4 linked regions of the Canis lupus familiaris genome follow. The protein of the gene in region 3 interacts with the protein of the main gene of each other region in a pairwise test. Links are inferred from orthologs where the notes say so. Each region holds a gene or a part of one and is shown on either strand. Other genes may lie near its edges.

What was found.
Region 1: the proteins of AP2B1 (region 3) and SLC25A6 interact in binary tests that used the Homo sapiens proteins (3 or more experiments, as listed by UniProt). The link is inferred for Canis lupus familiaris from reciprocal best matches to the Homo sapiens genes AP2B1 and SLC25A6.
Region 2: the proteins of AP2B1 (region 3) and NUP54 interact in binary tests that used the Homo sapiens proteins (3 or more experiments, as listed by UniProt). The two-hybrid records come from large-scale screens. The link is inferred for Canis lupus familiaris from reciprocal best matches to the Homo sapiens genes AP2B1 and NUP54.
Region 4: the proteins of AP2B1 (region 3) and GTF2I interact in binary tests that used the Homo sapiens proteins (3 or more experiments, as listed by UniProt). The link is inferred for Canis lupus familiaris from reciprocal best matches to the Homo sapiens genes AP2B1 and GTF2I.

What each region holds. Positions count from the first base shown.
Region 1 is NC_049260.1:869,267-873,518, reverse strand, and holds the start of SLC25A6 (ADP/ATP translocase 3), read left to right. Parts: upstream 1-1,449; 5' UTR 1,450-1,578; coding exon 1,579-1,689; intron 1,690-2,658; coding exon 2,659-3,145; intron 3,146-3,736; coding exon 3,737-3,877; intron 3,878-4,252. UniProt on the Homo sapiens protein: ADP:ATP antiporter that mediates import of ADP into the mitochondrial matrix for ATP synthesis, and export of ATP out to fuel the cell.
Region 2 is NC_049253.1:39,406,817-39,411,021, reverse strand, and holds the start of NUP54 (nucleoporin p54), read right to left. Parts: upstream 2,804-4,205; 5' UTR 2,685-2,803; coding exon 2,618-2,684; intron 2,005-2,617; coding exon 1,843-2,004; intron 1-1,842. UniProt on the Homo sapiens protein: Component of the nuclear pore complex, a complex required for the trafficking across the nuclear membrane.
Region 3 is NC_049230.1:38,024,996-38,028,553, forward strand, and holds part of AP2B1 (AP-2 complex subunit beta), read right to left. Parts: intron 1,010-3,558; coding exon 874-1,009; intron 1-873. UniProt on the Homo sapiens protein: Component of the adaptor protein complex 2 (AP-2). Adaptor protein complexes function in protein transport via transport vesicles in different membrane traffic pathways.
Region 4 is NC_049227.1:5,756,052-5,760,370, forward strand, and holds the start of GTF2I (general transcription factor II-I), read right to left. Parts: upstream 2,804-4,319; 5' UTR 2,427-2,803; intron 1-2,426. UniProt on the Homo sapiens protein: Interacts with the basal transcription machinery by coordinating the formation of a multiprotein complex at the C-FOS promoter, and linking specific signal responsive activator complexes.

The DNA of each region.
Region 1 (4,252 bases), on a different chromosome or scaffold from region 3:
GGGAGCAGGGAGGAGGAGGACGGAAGCGGAGGCAGGGACAGGAGAGAGACAGGAAGAGAGACAGGGAGGCCTAAAGCCAGTCGGGCGGAGCCCTGAGGGCGCCTCCCGGAGCTGGAGTCCCGCTGCGGCCAAGCCAGCGAGCGACACACCTTCCACTCCGAGCGACACACCTTCCACTCGGATCGCTCGCTCGGTTACAATCCAGTAAGAGGTTCAAGGTCAATGGAACGTTCCGCAGGACACCGTGTCCGGGCTTGAGCTTCCCTCCTGGGGGTGCCCGGGGTGTGTGTGCATGTGTGTGTGCAGGTGCACGTGTGTGTGCAGGTGCCTTCTGCGTGTGCACAGGTGCCGTCTGCGTGTGCAGGTGCACGCGTATGTGCAGGTGCCTTCTGCGTGTGCACAGGTGCCGTCTGCGTGTGCAGCTGGACACACAGGTGCATGTGCGTGTGCAGGTGCCTTCTGAGTGTGCGCAGGTGCCCTGTGTGTGTGCAGGTGCACGAATGCACAAGTGCGTGTGCGTGTGCAGGTGCCCTCTGTGTGCAGGTGCACGCGTGTGTGCAGGTGCCGTCTGCGTGTGCACAGGTGCCGTCTGCGTGTGCGTGTGCAGGTGCCTTCTGCGTGCGCAGGTGCCCCGTGTGTGTGCAGGTGCACGAATGCACAGGTGCATGCGTGGCCGGCTCAGCATGGCCCCGTGCAGCGAGCGCCGCCGCGAGTCACCCATCCATGCGGGCTGCAGCACCCCCACATGAGGGCGCGGGGGTCTTGGGGGGGCCCAGGCTTGGGCTCGCTGGGGTTGGTCTGGGGCGTCCGCATGGGCCAGTGGGCGGGGCGCTGGAGTGAGGACGGGTCGGGCGGCCAGTCGTGGGGACTGTGGGCTTTTGGAGGGGGGAAGTGCAGGTGGCAGGCGACCTGACCTTGCGGTCTTCGAGCTGACCTTGGGGTCTTCCAGAGGAGCCCGGGGCCGCGACGTGACCTCGGGGTCAGCACACGGGGCCAAGGGGTCGCGGTCGGGGGACGGGTCGCGCAGGGTCAGGGTCGCGGTGCTGGGCGCGCCCGGGGGGCCAGCGGCTGGAAGGAGCCCGAGCTCGCGGACCCGCCGCCGCCGCCGCCCCCTCCCCCCGCCGGGAGCGCCCAGGGCCCGCGGCGACCTTCACAAGGTCACGGCGGCGGCCGAGCCCTCGGGCCGCACGGCGCATGGGCGGGGTCCCGCTCCCGGCATGCCTCGGGGCCCGGCGCGCGGGAAGGGGCGGGGCAACGGCAGCAGCGCAGCCAATGGGCGCGGCGCGGGCGGGCACGGGGCGGGGCGCGCTGCGGCTCCCGGCAGCCCGCGGGGGCGCGGCGCGCGGGAAGGGGCGGGGCGTCGGCGGGCGGCGCGGCCAATGGGCGCGGCGGGCGGGGGCGCGGGGCGGGGCTTCGGGCCCTTAGCGGCTGCGCGCTGGGCGCCCCGTCCTTTCGGTCCCGGCGGCGGCAGCGCGGAGCCAGCGGCGCCCTCCCTCCCTCCCTCCCTCCCTCGGTTCGCCCGTCCGTCCGGCTGTCCGCGCCCGCACTCCGCCGTCCGCCGCCCGCCCGCCCGCCGCCATGACGGAGCAGGCCATCTCGTTCGCCAAGGACTTCCTAGCCGGAGGCATCGCCGCCGCCATCTCCAAGACGGCCGTGGCCCCGATCGAGCGGGTCAAGCTGCTGCTGCAGGTGCGCACGGCGCGTGCGCGCTCGGGGACCCGGGACGGCGGTCCCGTCGGGGGGGGGGGGTCCGGGCGTGCTGCGAGGGCTCGCGGTGGGGGGTGACAGCGGGGCGGGCCGGCCGCGTGCACCGGGACCCGCGGCCGCCGGAAGTGCGAGGCCGCGCCGCTTTGTCCGCGCGCCGCCCGCTTCCGGGGCCGGGCCGGCCGCGCGTCACGTGGCGCTCTCCGCGCGTGCGCGCTGGGGCAGAGCTCTCGGGCGCCCGGAGCGCGGGCCTCGCCCCCGCGGTTCCCACCGTCGAGGCCGAGCGGACCGCGGGAGCCCCGCGAGCGCCCCCTGTGATGGAGGCCGGGACTTTGCTCCGCCCCGTTCCGGCCTGAGAGGCGGCGAGCCGCGGCGCTCCGCTGGGAAGTCGTTGCGCCCGCGGCCAGCTGGCGGCAACATTGTTGCAGCGCCTCCTTGGCAACATTGTTGCAGCGCGTCCTTGGCAACGTTGTTGCGGGTGGGGCAGTGGGAACATTGTCGGTTGACCCGTGCGGACCTGCGGGGACCAGTGTCCTGGGCTGTGCCCCGTCCTGTCGAGCCAGTGCACGCTCCCGTGCACGGATGAGCGGTGCGGACTTGCAGGGACCAGTGTCCTGGGTGTGCCCGGTCCTGTCGACCCAGTGCGCTCCTCCCGTGCACGGATGAGCGGTTCCGACTTGCAGGGACGCGCCTCCCGGGATGAGTGCCCTCCGGTGCTGGGTTGACCGGTGGTGTCCTGGGCTGTGCCCCATCCTGTCGACCCAGTGCGCTCCTCCCGTGCACGGTTGAGCGGTTCCACTTGCAGGCATAGGCCCCCCCGGGATATGAGCTCTCCCGTGGAGCTACCGTGCTCACATGCAGGAATTCCCCTCCAGGGACTCGCCTACCCTAGGGACGCTGGCTGGTACTGCGTGCGGGCCCTCTAACGAGCCTGTCCGCCCGTCTATCTCGCAGGTGCAGCACGCCAGCAAGCAGATCGCCGCCGACAAGCAGTATAAGGGCATCGTGGACTGCATCGTGCGCATCCCCAAGGAGCAGGGCGTGCTGTCCTTCTGGAGGGGCAACCTGGCCAACGTGATCCGCTACTTCCCCACGCAGGCCCTCAACTTTGCGTTCAAGGATAAGTATAAGCAGATCTTCCTGGGGGGCGTGGACAAGCACACGCAGTTCTGGAGGTACTTTGCCGGCAACCTGGCATCAGGCGGGGCCGCGGGCGCCACCTCCCTCTGCTTCGTGTACCCGCTGGATTTCGCCAGAACCCGTCTGGCGGCTGACGTCGGCAAGTCGGGCACCGAGCGGGAGTTCAAGGGCCTTGGAGACTGCCTGGTGAAGATCACCAAGTCCGACGGCATCCGGGGCCTCTACCAGGGCTTCAACGTGTCCGTGCAGGGCATCATCATCTACCGGGCGGCCTACTTCGGCGTCTACGACACGGCCAAGGGTACGTGTGTTCTTGCTGTGGGGCTGCACGTGCGGCGGGGGCTCCGGGATCCGCTGTTGGCAGAGCCGCACTCTGCAGGGTGGGAAGTCTGACATCCACACGTCCACGGGGTTGCTGGCGTTCGTGGCGTCTCCTCGGTGTGTAGATGGCAGTTTTGTCCGTGTGTCCTCACGTGGGCCTCTTCTGTGCGTCTGAGTTTAGATTTTTTACAGGGTGTTGATGGTGTTGGATTAGGGTCTCCTCTGAAGACGCTTTACACTGTTTTTTAAAGGCAGTTATTTTTAGGTATCCGGGGTTTTCAGCGTGAACATTAGGGTGTGCCGTTCACACCCTGAAAGCTAGTGTCTGTGCAGCAGAACCGCCTCTTGTGTGGTACATGCACTTACCAGGCTCGCCTGTCCCTCTCTGTAGAGAGAGCCCGTTCGTTCCCAGGCACTAAGCGTGGGCCTCAGGGACCGCTCTATGCCCTGCGGGTGGTTCCATGCCGTTCCCTGGTCGCGGGGGCTCCACGTGGCACCAGGGCAGGCAGTACTGCTCTTGCCCCGCTGTGTGTGTGGCACTGGAACCTAACGCTGGCTGGTGACCCCGCAGGCATGCTCCCAGACCCCAAGAACACGCACATTGTGGTGAGCTGGATGATCGCCCAGACTGTGACGGCCGTGGCCGGCGTGGTCTCCTACCCCTTCGACACCGTGCGGCGGCGGATGATGATGCAGTCCGGGCGCAAAGGAGGTACGTTGTCTCGGTCCTGGTGACCGGGACTTGTCCTCGGAGATGAGAGATACAAGAGCTCCTGGAATGACGGGCCCTTTGGTGGCCTCAGGCCATGGGAAGCGGGGCTAACAGATGAGGTTCTTCACAGGGTTTGAGACCGTAACTGTTGATCCAGGGGCGCTAGAACCCTGCAGCCCTGCCGGGTACCTGCCCGGGCCCTTGGTGCTGCCCGTGCTTTGGTCTTCTCTACGCTGGCCCGGGACCTTGCACTGATCCCAGGAGTGGACACGGGGCTGCAATTTGGGTGTTTTGGTTATAGCCACAGCAGTGGGCTGAGCAGCGGCCAAGACCTGGAGCTGTTGGTGTGCAGAGCCTCATTTTTCCCTGGGATGA
Region 2 (4,205 bases), on a different chromosome or scaffold from region 3:
GAATAAATAAATAAATCTTAAAAAAAAAAAAAAAAAGTCTGAACCATTAGTGCTGCATTATGCCACAGTTTTTCACAATTCTAACTTCTAATTTCCTATATTTCTAGTTTAAGAGATAGATTCATGTTACATAAAGGATATAAGAAAGAAAAAACCTCAACCTTTTGATATTCACCATATAATTTTGATTTGGAAAATTACTCAAGAATAGACTGCATACTGTAGACATAACCAAATAGGCTATTTTCTTGTAGGTTCTATTGCAGTACTGCAAACTGTAAACATTTGGACTAAAAAAAAAAAAAAAAATCAACTAAAAGTATAAAACACTGCTCTCAATCTTTTTCATTATCTTCCCTTACATAGAATAACTATGATATATTCTGATTTGGCTACACAATATTAGTAGCTTATCATGGTTCCTAATACCAAAAATGTAGTAGTGAATCTGTTAAGATACAAAATAAACAAGACTTTAAAAAAAATAAAAAAAATAAGAATTTCTATCATCCCTTTGCTGAAGGTTCAGTTACTGAACATACATAGAAGTGGTTAAAATACAGTTATATTATCACAACTCAACACTTAACAGTGATAACTCCAAATGAACATGAAATCAAGCAAATACCAATAAGTTTATTTATTGTTGTTGAATTACAAGCTGGGTGGCTTTATTCAGAAACACAAATTTCAAAATACAGCTGTTTTACCCAGTGCCAATTTTAAGCAAACGGAAAAATAAATGTGCATGACAGTAAATGACAGTGATACACGATCACTTTAAATATACCTTAACGACAAGGACTGTTTTATCTTTGGAATTCAAACGTATTCTTCAAAACATTTCAAATCAGATGCCGAGGTGATATTCGTACTGCTCTAACAAATACTGCACAAATACCAGACTTTCCAAATAAATTTTAGGGAATAAATAATGTTTACAAAATGCATATAATTGGCATGGGTATAAGTGGCATAATGCAAGAGAATATGGACAATATATTCATATACGAGCAGCAGAGGAACAAGACTTTTCTATAGGATAACTATGTAAAATACACAGACCTATTTTAAATTTATATATACATATAAACACATTATAGTCTGTGCTTTGCAAATTTCCAATGAGCTTCAATCCATATAGGTACTAAAATCTTCATCATTATTTAATACAAATATGTCTAGCCTACCTACTAGCCTCCATGCTATCTGACAAATTAAACTGCTCTACTTATTTCTCAAAAAAATCCTGTAAAAAACCAAGACTCTTTAAAATTACATATCTTACAGAAATGCATCCTAATCTGCCGAGTGGACCAAAGGAATACATTGTTGTTGCTAAACACATTTTAAAAATACAGGATGTTGCTGTTCGTATAAGACTTGTTTCTCTTGGGAAACACAAAGACAGTCGAATGAAATTGCAATGAAAGATGCAGGAAAGATGGGGGAAAAAAAAAAAAAAATGACTGCAGGAGTCCAAGAATCCCAGAGAAAAGAGCCTGACTGGTGAGTTTCTGTTTTGTAAGAGATAAGATAAACAATTTGGAAAACATATTCTACTTCAAATAATCCGTTCCAGATTCTTACCACTTGGAAGGTATATTCTGTCGGATCGAATGCAAGTTCAACAAAGGAACATCACAACTTGCAAGGCTTCTAAAAACCAAATCTTTTAAGACAGTCGGAGCTAGATGCAAACGTTTTTGATTCGACTCTAGGGAATGAATGAACGTCCTTTCCCCTTTAGGCATGTCGCTGCTCTTCCGAAAACTCGGAGCTGCGAAATATTCTTGGACTCCGGCTCCCAACATCGTCACACGTACGACCCGCAGTATCTACCTGCACTTGCCAGACTGTTACCAAAATTGAACGGAGTCGCCGAGGTAGTAGAAACACCGAAATTCCCAATATTAAAGTTCACTGCAGGATTAGCAGTTAATCCGAAACCCCCAAAATTAAACCCACTGGCGGTGGAGTTGGCAGTCTCAAGCCCACCAAATCCTGATCGGCGTGTAGGCACAGAAACAAAATTTTAAAACGGGGGAGGGGGGAGAAAAAGAAAAGAGAAAAGAAAAGAAAAGGAAAAGAAAGCAAGACAAGGGTTAGAAGAGTCAGCAGGTCTCACAGAAGCGAACGAGGACAAACCTCGACTTAGCTCCAGCGGGTTAAGAAAGCGGAGGTGGAGGCGGGGACGGGAGGGAGGAGCCCGAGCGCGAGGTCCCGCAGCCCCGACCCAAGGGCCCGCCCCGAGCGGCCGCCGCGCAGCCCCGACCCGCCAGCCCCAACCGGACCTCGGGGCCCCGGGGGCTCGGGCGGGGAGAGCCGGGCCGCCGTCCGGCAGCGGGAGCGCGGAGCCGCCGTCTGGCCTCCGGAGGGCCCCCGGCGGCGGGAAGCGGACCCCGGGAGGGCGACGCTGTGCGGGGAGCCACGGGCTGGGCCTCGGAACCCCCGCGGCCTCCTCAGGAGCCGCCCGGGCCCGCTCAGCCGCGGCCCCTGGCCCGGAGCCCCCGGAGTCCCCAAGCAGCCAGGACACCCCCAGGGTCTCCGGGCCGCACAGGCTCGGGCCGGGGGGCTGCACCGGGGGCCGCCCCTCCTTCCCGGGAGGACCACTCACCCGCGGGGGCCGCGGGGGCCGCGGCGGTGCCAGAGGTGCCCGAGGGAGCCCCGAAGTTGAAGGCCATGTCGCGCGAGCAGGGGACGCAGGCGCCGCCCCCACGACCCTCGGTGCGCGCCGCTCTTCAGTCCCGCCGAGAGCCGCCTCCGGCTCACCGAGTTCCGGCCCTTTTCTGGCCGCGCCTCGGAAGCCCGAACGCCGGAAGCGCAGGGGCGGGGCCTGGCGGGAGCGCGCCGGGTCCGCCCGCTTCCGGGGCCTGAGCGCGTCCCGCGGCGCAGGGCGTGACGTCGCGGCGGTGCCGCGGGCCCCGGGCTCAGCGCCTCAGGGAGGGCCCGGGCGGAGGCGGGCTCCGCTGCTGACGGGCGTGTGGCGGGGACCGGGCGGGAGGCCGCGATCCCCGTCTCCGCAGCGCGGAGCCCACTGTCACGCCGGAGCTCACGAGGACCCCGAAGCGGCCTCTTTCCCGTGTTCTACCGCCCCGAGTCGTCTGGGAGTCGGCACGTGGGCAGGGACAGGCCCCACCGTGCGCGCCCTCCTCCGCCAGCGGCGGCCTCGGGGCAGCGGGTGCCGAGGAGCGGACTCCAGCCCCGGACTGCGGTGAGTCGGGTGGCCCCTCTGCTTGGACTGTCTTGGCTTTTTGCGTCTTGCAGGCCGGGCGTGCATCTCAGTGACGACTTGACGTGGGATCCCTGCGGGGCAGCGGTTGGGCGCGACCCTGGAGACCCGGGATCCAGTCCCAGTCGGGCTCCCTGCGTGGAGCCTGCTTCTCCCTCTGCCTGTGTCTCTGCCTCTCTCTCTGTCTCTCTCTGTGTGTGACTATCATAAATAAATAAAAATTAATAAATAAAAATTTAAAAAAAAGACTTGACGTTCCGCTCCGAGGTGGAAGGACGCCCCGACCCCGCTGAAGGCCTCCAAGCGTCTCCCTGACGCCGGCTCCTCTTCCGGGCAGTACTGGCCTAGCATTTTTCCTATTCTTGTTTATAAATGCATTTTTTTTGTTTTTAAGACACGCACAGGTGTATTTGAAATTGATTTTTTGACTGTACGGTACTGAAAATTTTCTCGAGATGATGGAAGATGTCGACACTGGCATCTGCGATCCATGCCCAAGTGTTGATCTCTCTGCACCGTCCTCCTAAGGACAAGGGCGGTAACGAGCTAGAAACCAGCAGGGGAAGGTGTTTATCTCCTGCTCTCTCAAATGAGTCGTATTAATAATCATTATTGCAAGAAATAATAATAATCATCATTATTGCAAAATAATGTAACGATAATTTATTAATAATAAAGTAATAATGATTTTCAAAAAGAATTTATTGTTGATATCTCAGAATAAATGCTGCATCACATTGATTTTTTTGCAGACTTTCGCCTGCAGTATTTTGTAATTTGGACACTTCACCTCTCGTGAGAGAAAAGACATCCCACTGTTGTACATCAATCATTGAAAAGAAAAGGAATACACGAAATTAAGAATTATGGAGATTGTACAAATAGTGGGAAGTTTCGAAGCAAGTAAAGACTATATCAATTAGGAAAGGTGTATATGTATGTTTTGAGCATCTACTTTATTTCACACGTTATA
Region 3 (3,558 bases):
CACTTTCTTGCTCTCTCAAATGAATAAATCTTAAAAGGAGATCTTACAAGGATGAAATGATTTTTCATCTTTATGTTTGGAATCTGCTTTAAAATTATCCATTAGGAGGAGTGGGAGTCAGGAAAGCATGTATAGGGAGAATAAATAAGATTGGTCATGGGTTGGGGTGCCTGGGTGCTTAAGCATCTGCCTTCAGCTTAGGTCATGATCCCAGGGTCCTGCTTCCTGCTCAGTTGAGAATCTCCTTCCCTCTCTCCCTCTGTTCCTCCCACGGCTTGTGCACTCTCTCTCAAATAAATAAATAAAATCCTAAGGAAAAAAAAAAAAAAAGACTTGTCACGTGCTGGTAACCACTGAAACTACAAGATGGGGATTTAGGGATTTAGAATACTATTCCCTCTACTTGAATATGTTTGGAAGTTTCCAGAATAAAAAAAAAATGAGTGTTAAGACCTATTAAGTAAAAACAGAAGTAGTTACTCCTTGAGTTTCTACTACTTCTGACCCATAAGCTTAATTTTCCCCATGATAAATAGATAAAACCCAGGTTACTGAAACTTCAATGATACGCCTAACCTTTGTCAGCCTGGGAAGGTTTCTTCTGGCTTTCTTCTCCCATCTGGCAAGGATGCACCAAAACCAGCTAACAGAAGGCTCTCCATATGGTTTGAACTGGATGACGAATGCTGGCATAAAGAATGCTTAAAAACCTGAACACTCATAGTCACTGCCAGTACTTCTCTAGAGGCTCTCTTTTGCAACAGAGGTTGCTTATTTGCAATGCAGACATTACCTACATCAAACAATACTTCCTGAAAAGCCTACTTGAGGTAGACGAGACTGGTCTTGAGTTCCTAGGGGTGGAAATGTTACCTTCACAAAGCTGTTGACAGCCATGATGGCCATGTCTGGCTGACTCTTGGCATAGTTCATCAAATAGAGATAAACAAGCTTCTTTAATTCCAGGTTGTCGGTTTGCATACAGTTCACTACATCTGGAAAAAGAGAGCTGAGAAGAGAAGAGAAAAAAGAAAAGGAAAATGAATAGATGTTGGTGCCAAGCTATTGGATAGAATATGGAGAAATAGCCTTTACAAAGTGATCTGATGCAAAGAAGTATGTCCCCACAGTGATAACAATTAACACTGATCTCAATTTCTAAGGAAACTGTAGTACAAGACCCAAGAAGATCTCTAAAATAGATTTAAGGGGATCCCTGGGCGGCTCAGCGGTTTAGCGCCTGCCTTTGGCCCAGGGCGCAATCCTGGAGTCCCGGGATCGAGTCCCATGTCGGGTTCCCGGCATGGAGCCTGCTTCTCCCTCCTCCTGTGTCTCTGCCTCTCTCTCTCTCTATGTCTATCATAAATAAATAAATCTTTAAAAAAAATAAAAATAAAAAATAAAATAGATTTAAGAAACTTTTCATTGTTAGCAAAATTTTTTTTTAAGTTTATTTATTTATTCATGAGAGACACCGAGAGAGAGAGGGAGGCAGAGACACAGATAGAGGGAGAAGCAGGCTCCTCGCAGGGAGCCCGATGTGGGACTCGATCCTGAATCCCGGGATCATGCCCTGAGACAAAAGCAGATGCTCAAACGCTGAGCCACCCAGGCGTCCCAGCAAATTTTCTAACAAAAGTAGAGCAATATGGGTAGCCTGGTGGCTCAGCGGTTTAGTGTCACCTTTAGCCCAGGGCCTGATCCTGGAGACCCGGGATCATGTCCCATGTCAGGCTCCCTGCATGGAGCCTGCTTCTCCCTCTGCCTGTGTCTCTGCCTCTCTGTCTCTCTCATGAATAAATAAAAAAATCTTAAAAAAAAAAAAAAAGTAGAGCAATATAATGAACCCAATATATCCATCACCCAGCTGCAAAGAAGCATTAACACATGTCCAATCTTGTTTTATACATGTCCTCAATCCAATATCCCTTCCCCTGTCCCTATCCCACCTAGTTGCTCTGGATTTTTTTCCCAACATAGAACTTGAACTCATGACCCTGAGATCAGGACCTGAGTTGAGATCAAGAATTGCACACTTAACCGACTGAGCTACCCAGGAGCCCCAGTCTGGATTATTTTTAACGAAATCCTAGACATTATGTAATTTCATACATATTTTAGGGCATATCTTTAGGAATCTTGTTTTTTATTTGTATTTATTTTTTTTGGAATCTTGTTTTTTAAAAGCACAATCTTTATCACACACAGAAATTAACAGTAATTCTACATATTGCAGGTTCGAAGCACTATGGCTGCTACGTTTTTAATGTTCATATTCTATCCTTGGGCAGTGGGAACTTACTCAGCTAGCTTCTGAGTTCCTGTGATGTAATCCTGCATTTTCATCAGCCTCCTCACTTTCTGGTAGGACAAAATTCACTAACCAAGATTTCTTTGTACATTTCTAATCTCAAAACTGAAACCAGTCATTTTTCTAAGAAGTCTTGACTCCCTTCTAGAATTTATTCTTAATATTACAAACTCAGACAAATGAAAATTTCAGTGTCCTCAGATATAAAAGCTTACACTTTTCCAAAGTTCAAGTCATTTTATGATTTCCTACTCTCTTATAAAGCCAAACAGTGGCTTTATTTTGGAATGGCCTCCAAATCATTAGTTTGGAAGGAATGAATTTATTTGATTTTAAAATATAAGCTGTATTTTTTCAAGTACACGTTAACTATAATTTTTTAGGAGAGACTGGTAATTAACCTTCCTCCTAGGCTTTATCAAAGTACTACATAAATTTTAAATACTTTTTTAAAAATTTATTTGAGAGAGAGAGAGAGAGAGAGAGAGAGAGAGAGAGAACAGGCACAAGCACGAGTGGGAGGGGCAAAGAGAGAAGGAGAAAGAATCCCAAGTAGACTCTGAGCCTTAGGTGGAGCTTGACCTCACAACCCTGAGATCATGACTGGAGCTGAAAACAAGAGTCAGATGCTTAACTTACTGTGCCACCCAGGAGCCCCTGAATTTTAAGAACTTAACAGCTTACTACAAGTACAGAAAAAGCAAACATCAATATATTTATTTATATATATATATATATATATATTTATATATATCTCTCTACAGGAAAGAGAATGATTGAAATAACTAGTCACATGGTAATGGCTCCTGTACACACACACAATAAGCAGAAAGTTATTTACAAATAGGAAGATGTTTTGCAAAGTCAAAGAATCTACTATATCTCCAACAAACCAATGAGTTCTGCTCTAAATGTCATTTAACCTGAGTATACACACCTAATGTAGTTTCATGCACATGTATTCAATAAACATTACACTCCCCCAAAATGAATGTCTTACCATTTCCTAGAGTAACTCATGGGCAAAACAACTGTAAAACTGGTAATAAATGTGACACATTAGCAAATGTAAGATCCTGAATAATTCCAACAACCTGCACAAGATCAAGAAGATCTTGATCAAGAACAAGTTCTAGAGGTAAAAACTGTTAAGCACCAACCTATAAAGCTAGAAACCTCAACTTTCTACTATGGTAGCCACTAGTCATGTGTAGCTCACTGGCAATGTGACCAATCTGAACCGAAAT
Region 4 (4,319 bases), on a different chromosome or scaffold from region 3:
CAAGCTGAGGCCCTATCAGCACTCCGGGTTCCCAGACAAGACTGGTGGGGATGAGATGCCTCAGTCATCTCTAGGAGGAGATTGCCATAATGCCAGTGCCATAAATGAATTAAAAAATGATTGAGACTGAAAAAAAAAAAAAAAAAAAGGCAAGATTAGGTTTCTAATTTTATCCTGTACTTAAATCCGTGGCTCTTTTAAAACCTGAGACTTCTTAAACTTTTAATTTCGTAATCATGGCTAACAAAAATTTTTAACTCTCAATCAGCTTTCCACACAATCTACGATAAGCAGTCCGAATTATTTTTGGTTAAGTTCAGGTTTTAAAGTAACGAAAAGCTTTAAAGAAAATCTAGAATAAATTCCCTACACTCACAGCTTAATTTTGCACCGCGCTGAATGGCTCTCCGAGAGCAGAGCCATCCTCCGAGCGGCGGAACAACAGCCCGCTCCAACTAGTTAGAAATGCAAATAATGGGGCCCCACCCCAGACCTGCCGAATCCGAAGTCTGGGGTTCTGGGGTGGGGCGGGGCGACGGTGTCTGAACAAGCCCTCCGGGGGTTGCTGACGCTCCGGAGTCTGAGAGCCACAGGCTGAGGGGTTAAGAGTCGGACTGCCCAGGCTCCAACCTTGCAGTCAAGGTTGACTTGCTGAGTAATCAAGAATACACTACTCAGCTTCTCTAGACTTGTTCCTCGTCTACACAAGGGAATTGCGGGGTTGTTTTCAAGACTGAATAAGAAAACACGTTAGTGCTGAAGAGGGATGCCCGGCGCTTAGGAAACATCCAAATGTTAGGCTCGGTGCAAGGCCCTTCGCGGGTCTGTCCGCCGGGAGGGGAGACAAAGGCGGAAAAAGCTTAACCCCTGCCCCTCCTGCCCACGGACGGGGCGGACAAGAGTGCACCGACGCACAACACTCCCCTCAGGGAAACCCAGACCCGCTCCTGGAAGGGCCGCACCAGCTGATTCGGACGCCGCGGGGCCGCTGGGCTCGTCCGCCCCGCGCTCAGGACCCGGTTCCGGAGCCCCGGGGTCAAGTCCCGGGATGGAGTCCAGCACCCGCTCCCCCAAGGAGGCCTGCTTCTCCCTCTGCCTCTCTCCGCGTCTCGTGGGTAAATAAAATCTTTAAGAGAAAGAAAAAAGAAACGACCAATTCCCACCAAACAATGCAAGAGACGGCCTTCAGCGACGGCACGGGAGCAAGACCAGAGTTCCAAAGCCCGAACATAAGAAAAAGTCAAGGTCCCAAGGAGGAGGCAAGAGCACCGCGCCCGGCAGCCCGGCTCTGCGGCTGAACGACTGACGAGACAGAGACAGCGACGGGGCAGGAGGGAGGAGGTGTCTGTCCTCCCCGGCCGCGGGCCTGGGGCGCGGGCGCGGGCGCGGGCTCAGCCTCCTCCCCGCACTCCGGGGCACCCTCATTTGCAAACTAACTTCCCCTTCTGCTTCCGGAACGCCCCAGAGACGGCTCTGCTGCCCTCCGGCCCCTCAAGCCGCAGAGAAGGGGGAAGCGTGCCCGGAGCCCCGCAGCCGCAGGAGTGGGCCTGCTCCAACCCAACTCGACGCCGGAACGCTCTCGGCCGCCGGCTACCGCAACGCCACATTGGACAGGGGAAGAAGAAGAAGAAGAAGGGAAAAAAGAACTTCCTTTATTCAAAGGCAAAACTTGGAGAAAGTGGAGGCAGCACAGGGAGGGGGGAAAGGACAGTTTTTCCCCTTCGTCCCTCCGCGAAACCCCGTCCGGGCGCCTGCGGGATCCAGACGGCTTTCCGTGGCCCGAAGGCCGAGGTTTTCCTTCCGGTCATTGTGTTTATTTCCCCCAAAGAACAGGCCCCGCGGGGCCGGCGCGCCGGCCGGGCCGGGACAAAGCCCACTCCGGGCTCCACCTGGGCGCGGGCAGGGGCGGGGAGGGGCGGGGGCGGGGCGGGGCGGGGCGGGGCGGGGCGGGCGGCGCTCCGGGGCCCGCCGGCCCCGGGCCGCAGTTACCAGGCAGCGCGGCGGCGCCGCCCCCGCCGCCCGCCGGCCAATCGCGCGCGTCTGCTGCCCGGGCGCACGAGCCCCGGAGACACCAGGCCGAGCGCGACCCCACGGCTCGGGCCTGGCACCGCGCGCGCACCCGCACCGCCCGAGCCGGCCAATCAGCGGCCGGGCATGCGCAGCCCGCAGGCTCGCTCGCGCGCGGGACTCACGCGTGAGCCCCCCCACGCAGCGCCGGCGCGCGCGCCCCTCCCCCCGCGCTCCCAGGCGCGCGCGTGCAACTGTCGTCCCCCGCGACCGCGTCTCCTCCCGCCCCACCCCCAACACGGCGGCCCGGGTACCCCGGCCCCAGTCCGCGCGGGCCCCGGGGGGGCGCGTCTCAAAGAAGGGCCCCGCTCGCGATGGCAACCGGGGCGGGGGGCGCGGGGGAGGCGACGGGGACTCACCCGAGTGCAGCCGCCTCCAGGCAGCGCCGGGGCTGGGGGAGCCGAAAGGAAGCGCGTGTGGGCCGAGCAAGAGCTGCGGCCGCGGCGGAGCAGCTCCGGGCTGGGGCGAGCGGGCGAGCGGGCAGGAGGTGAGAGGGCGAGGGGCCCGGGCGTCTTGGCCGAGCTCCTGTCACCGCCGCATGGCCGCCCCGGCAGGGCCTGGGTCAGCGCCTAGATCCGATCACGGGGGACCGAGGGAGAGGCCGGGATCACCGCGGCAGGCGGGCGGCCTCAGCTAGAGAGCGCGTGCGGGGAAGCGGGGGGGCGATCGGTGGCCCCTTTTCTCTGCTCTCCGAGCTTCTCTCTCACCCTCCTCCTCCTCCTCTTTTTTTTTTTTTTTTTTGTTCCTCGAAGGCGCGCTGCGCGTGCGCACCCGCAGCGCCGCCCAGCGGGAGTTGTAGTTTTGTGGTTCGTCCCCACCAACGCGACGGCGGGGGCGGCGGACTACGACTCCCAGGAAGCCCCGCGCCGGCGAGCCCCGAGCCCGAGGACGCGGCGAGCGCGGCGCCCGGCCCTCTCCGGCAAGGACTGTCAATGGAGGCGCGGGTGGTGGGAGCAAGAACATGGCTGCACCTGGGGCCTGCGCGGCCGCCCGGGTGGGGGAGGGGAGCCGGGGCGCGGGGCGCCGGCCTAGGCCGGGGGCGGCCCCCGCCTGCTCAGCGCCGCGGTGCCGCGGGCCCGAGCCACCGTCCGGGGCTCGCACTCACTCGTGCGTCCGACATTCCCTGCCGATGGCGAGGCCGGAACATGGCAGAGGCCCGGGAGCCCCAGGCCGGCCCGCCGGTCCCTGTGCTCCGCCGAGGGACTTCCTCCGCCCTGCACCACCCTCCCGGACACAAAGAGCTCCTCTGTTAGTTTTGCAAGCTTGCCTCCGAGGCGGCCGGAGGAGACCGGAGCCCCAACCTGCGCCGGGGCAGGGGGCGGGGGGCTCCTGTTTTTATTTACCACCCCCACCCCCACCCCACCCACACAGCCCAGACTTTCCCCTCGCTCCCTCGCTCCACGTTTAGAGGCAAAGTTGAGAGAAAGCCGCGGAGGGAGCAGAAAACCTGCCCTGTAGCCCGCTGGGTTTTGTTCTGTCGACCGCGGAGAAACTGGACCGAAACCTCTCCCCCGCACCCCGCACCCCGCACCCCGCACCCCGCCTCCCGCCTCCCGATTGTGCTTTTTCGCTTTCCAACTTGAGCTCTCGAATGTCGAAAACGCTGAGACACTGCTCTTCACCTAAGCGACGCTCAAAAGTTTACAGAACTCGAGCCCCGAGGTCGAGGGCGGTTCTGCGGAGCACTGGACCGAAGGGTTTCACGATTCTTCCCCCCGGCGGCGATGGGGGGGCCCCGCCGGCCGCCCTCCTCCCCACCCCCACCCCCGCCCCCACCCCTTCTCCCCTCCCCCTCGGTAGGTGGCGACCACGGCGCTTTTTTCCAGCCTTTGTCGCTGGAAAGAAAACTTTCCGAGCAGCCAGTCTTTTTGATGTCGGTCCAAGACCTTCCCTTTGAATCTCGGTGCCCGCAGATCGGCGTTCCCCCATCTCCTCCCGCGTCGACCGCACCCGGAAAGCCTCCCCTAGAATTCCCACGTCGGGATTCTTTAAAACAGACGGAGGCTTTCGCGGTCCCTGCGGGAGCCGCGCGATTTGCAGAAGATGGGCACGTCTCTACGGTTTCCCCCTCGCCTCCCACAGGCATTTCTGTCCCCGCCGGGCTCGATCGGGACTCTCCTTTGTCGAGCCTCTCTCCAAAGCGTTCCATTCCGTTTTCAAACAAGAACAGTGTTTCTTTTTTGCACTCGTATTTCATTACCATATTGGCATATTTAATTAAACTCCGTAGTCCCAGTAGCGAGTACTACTGA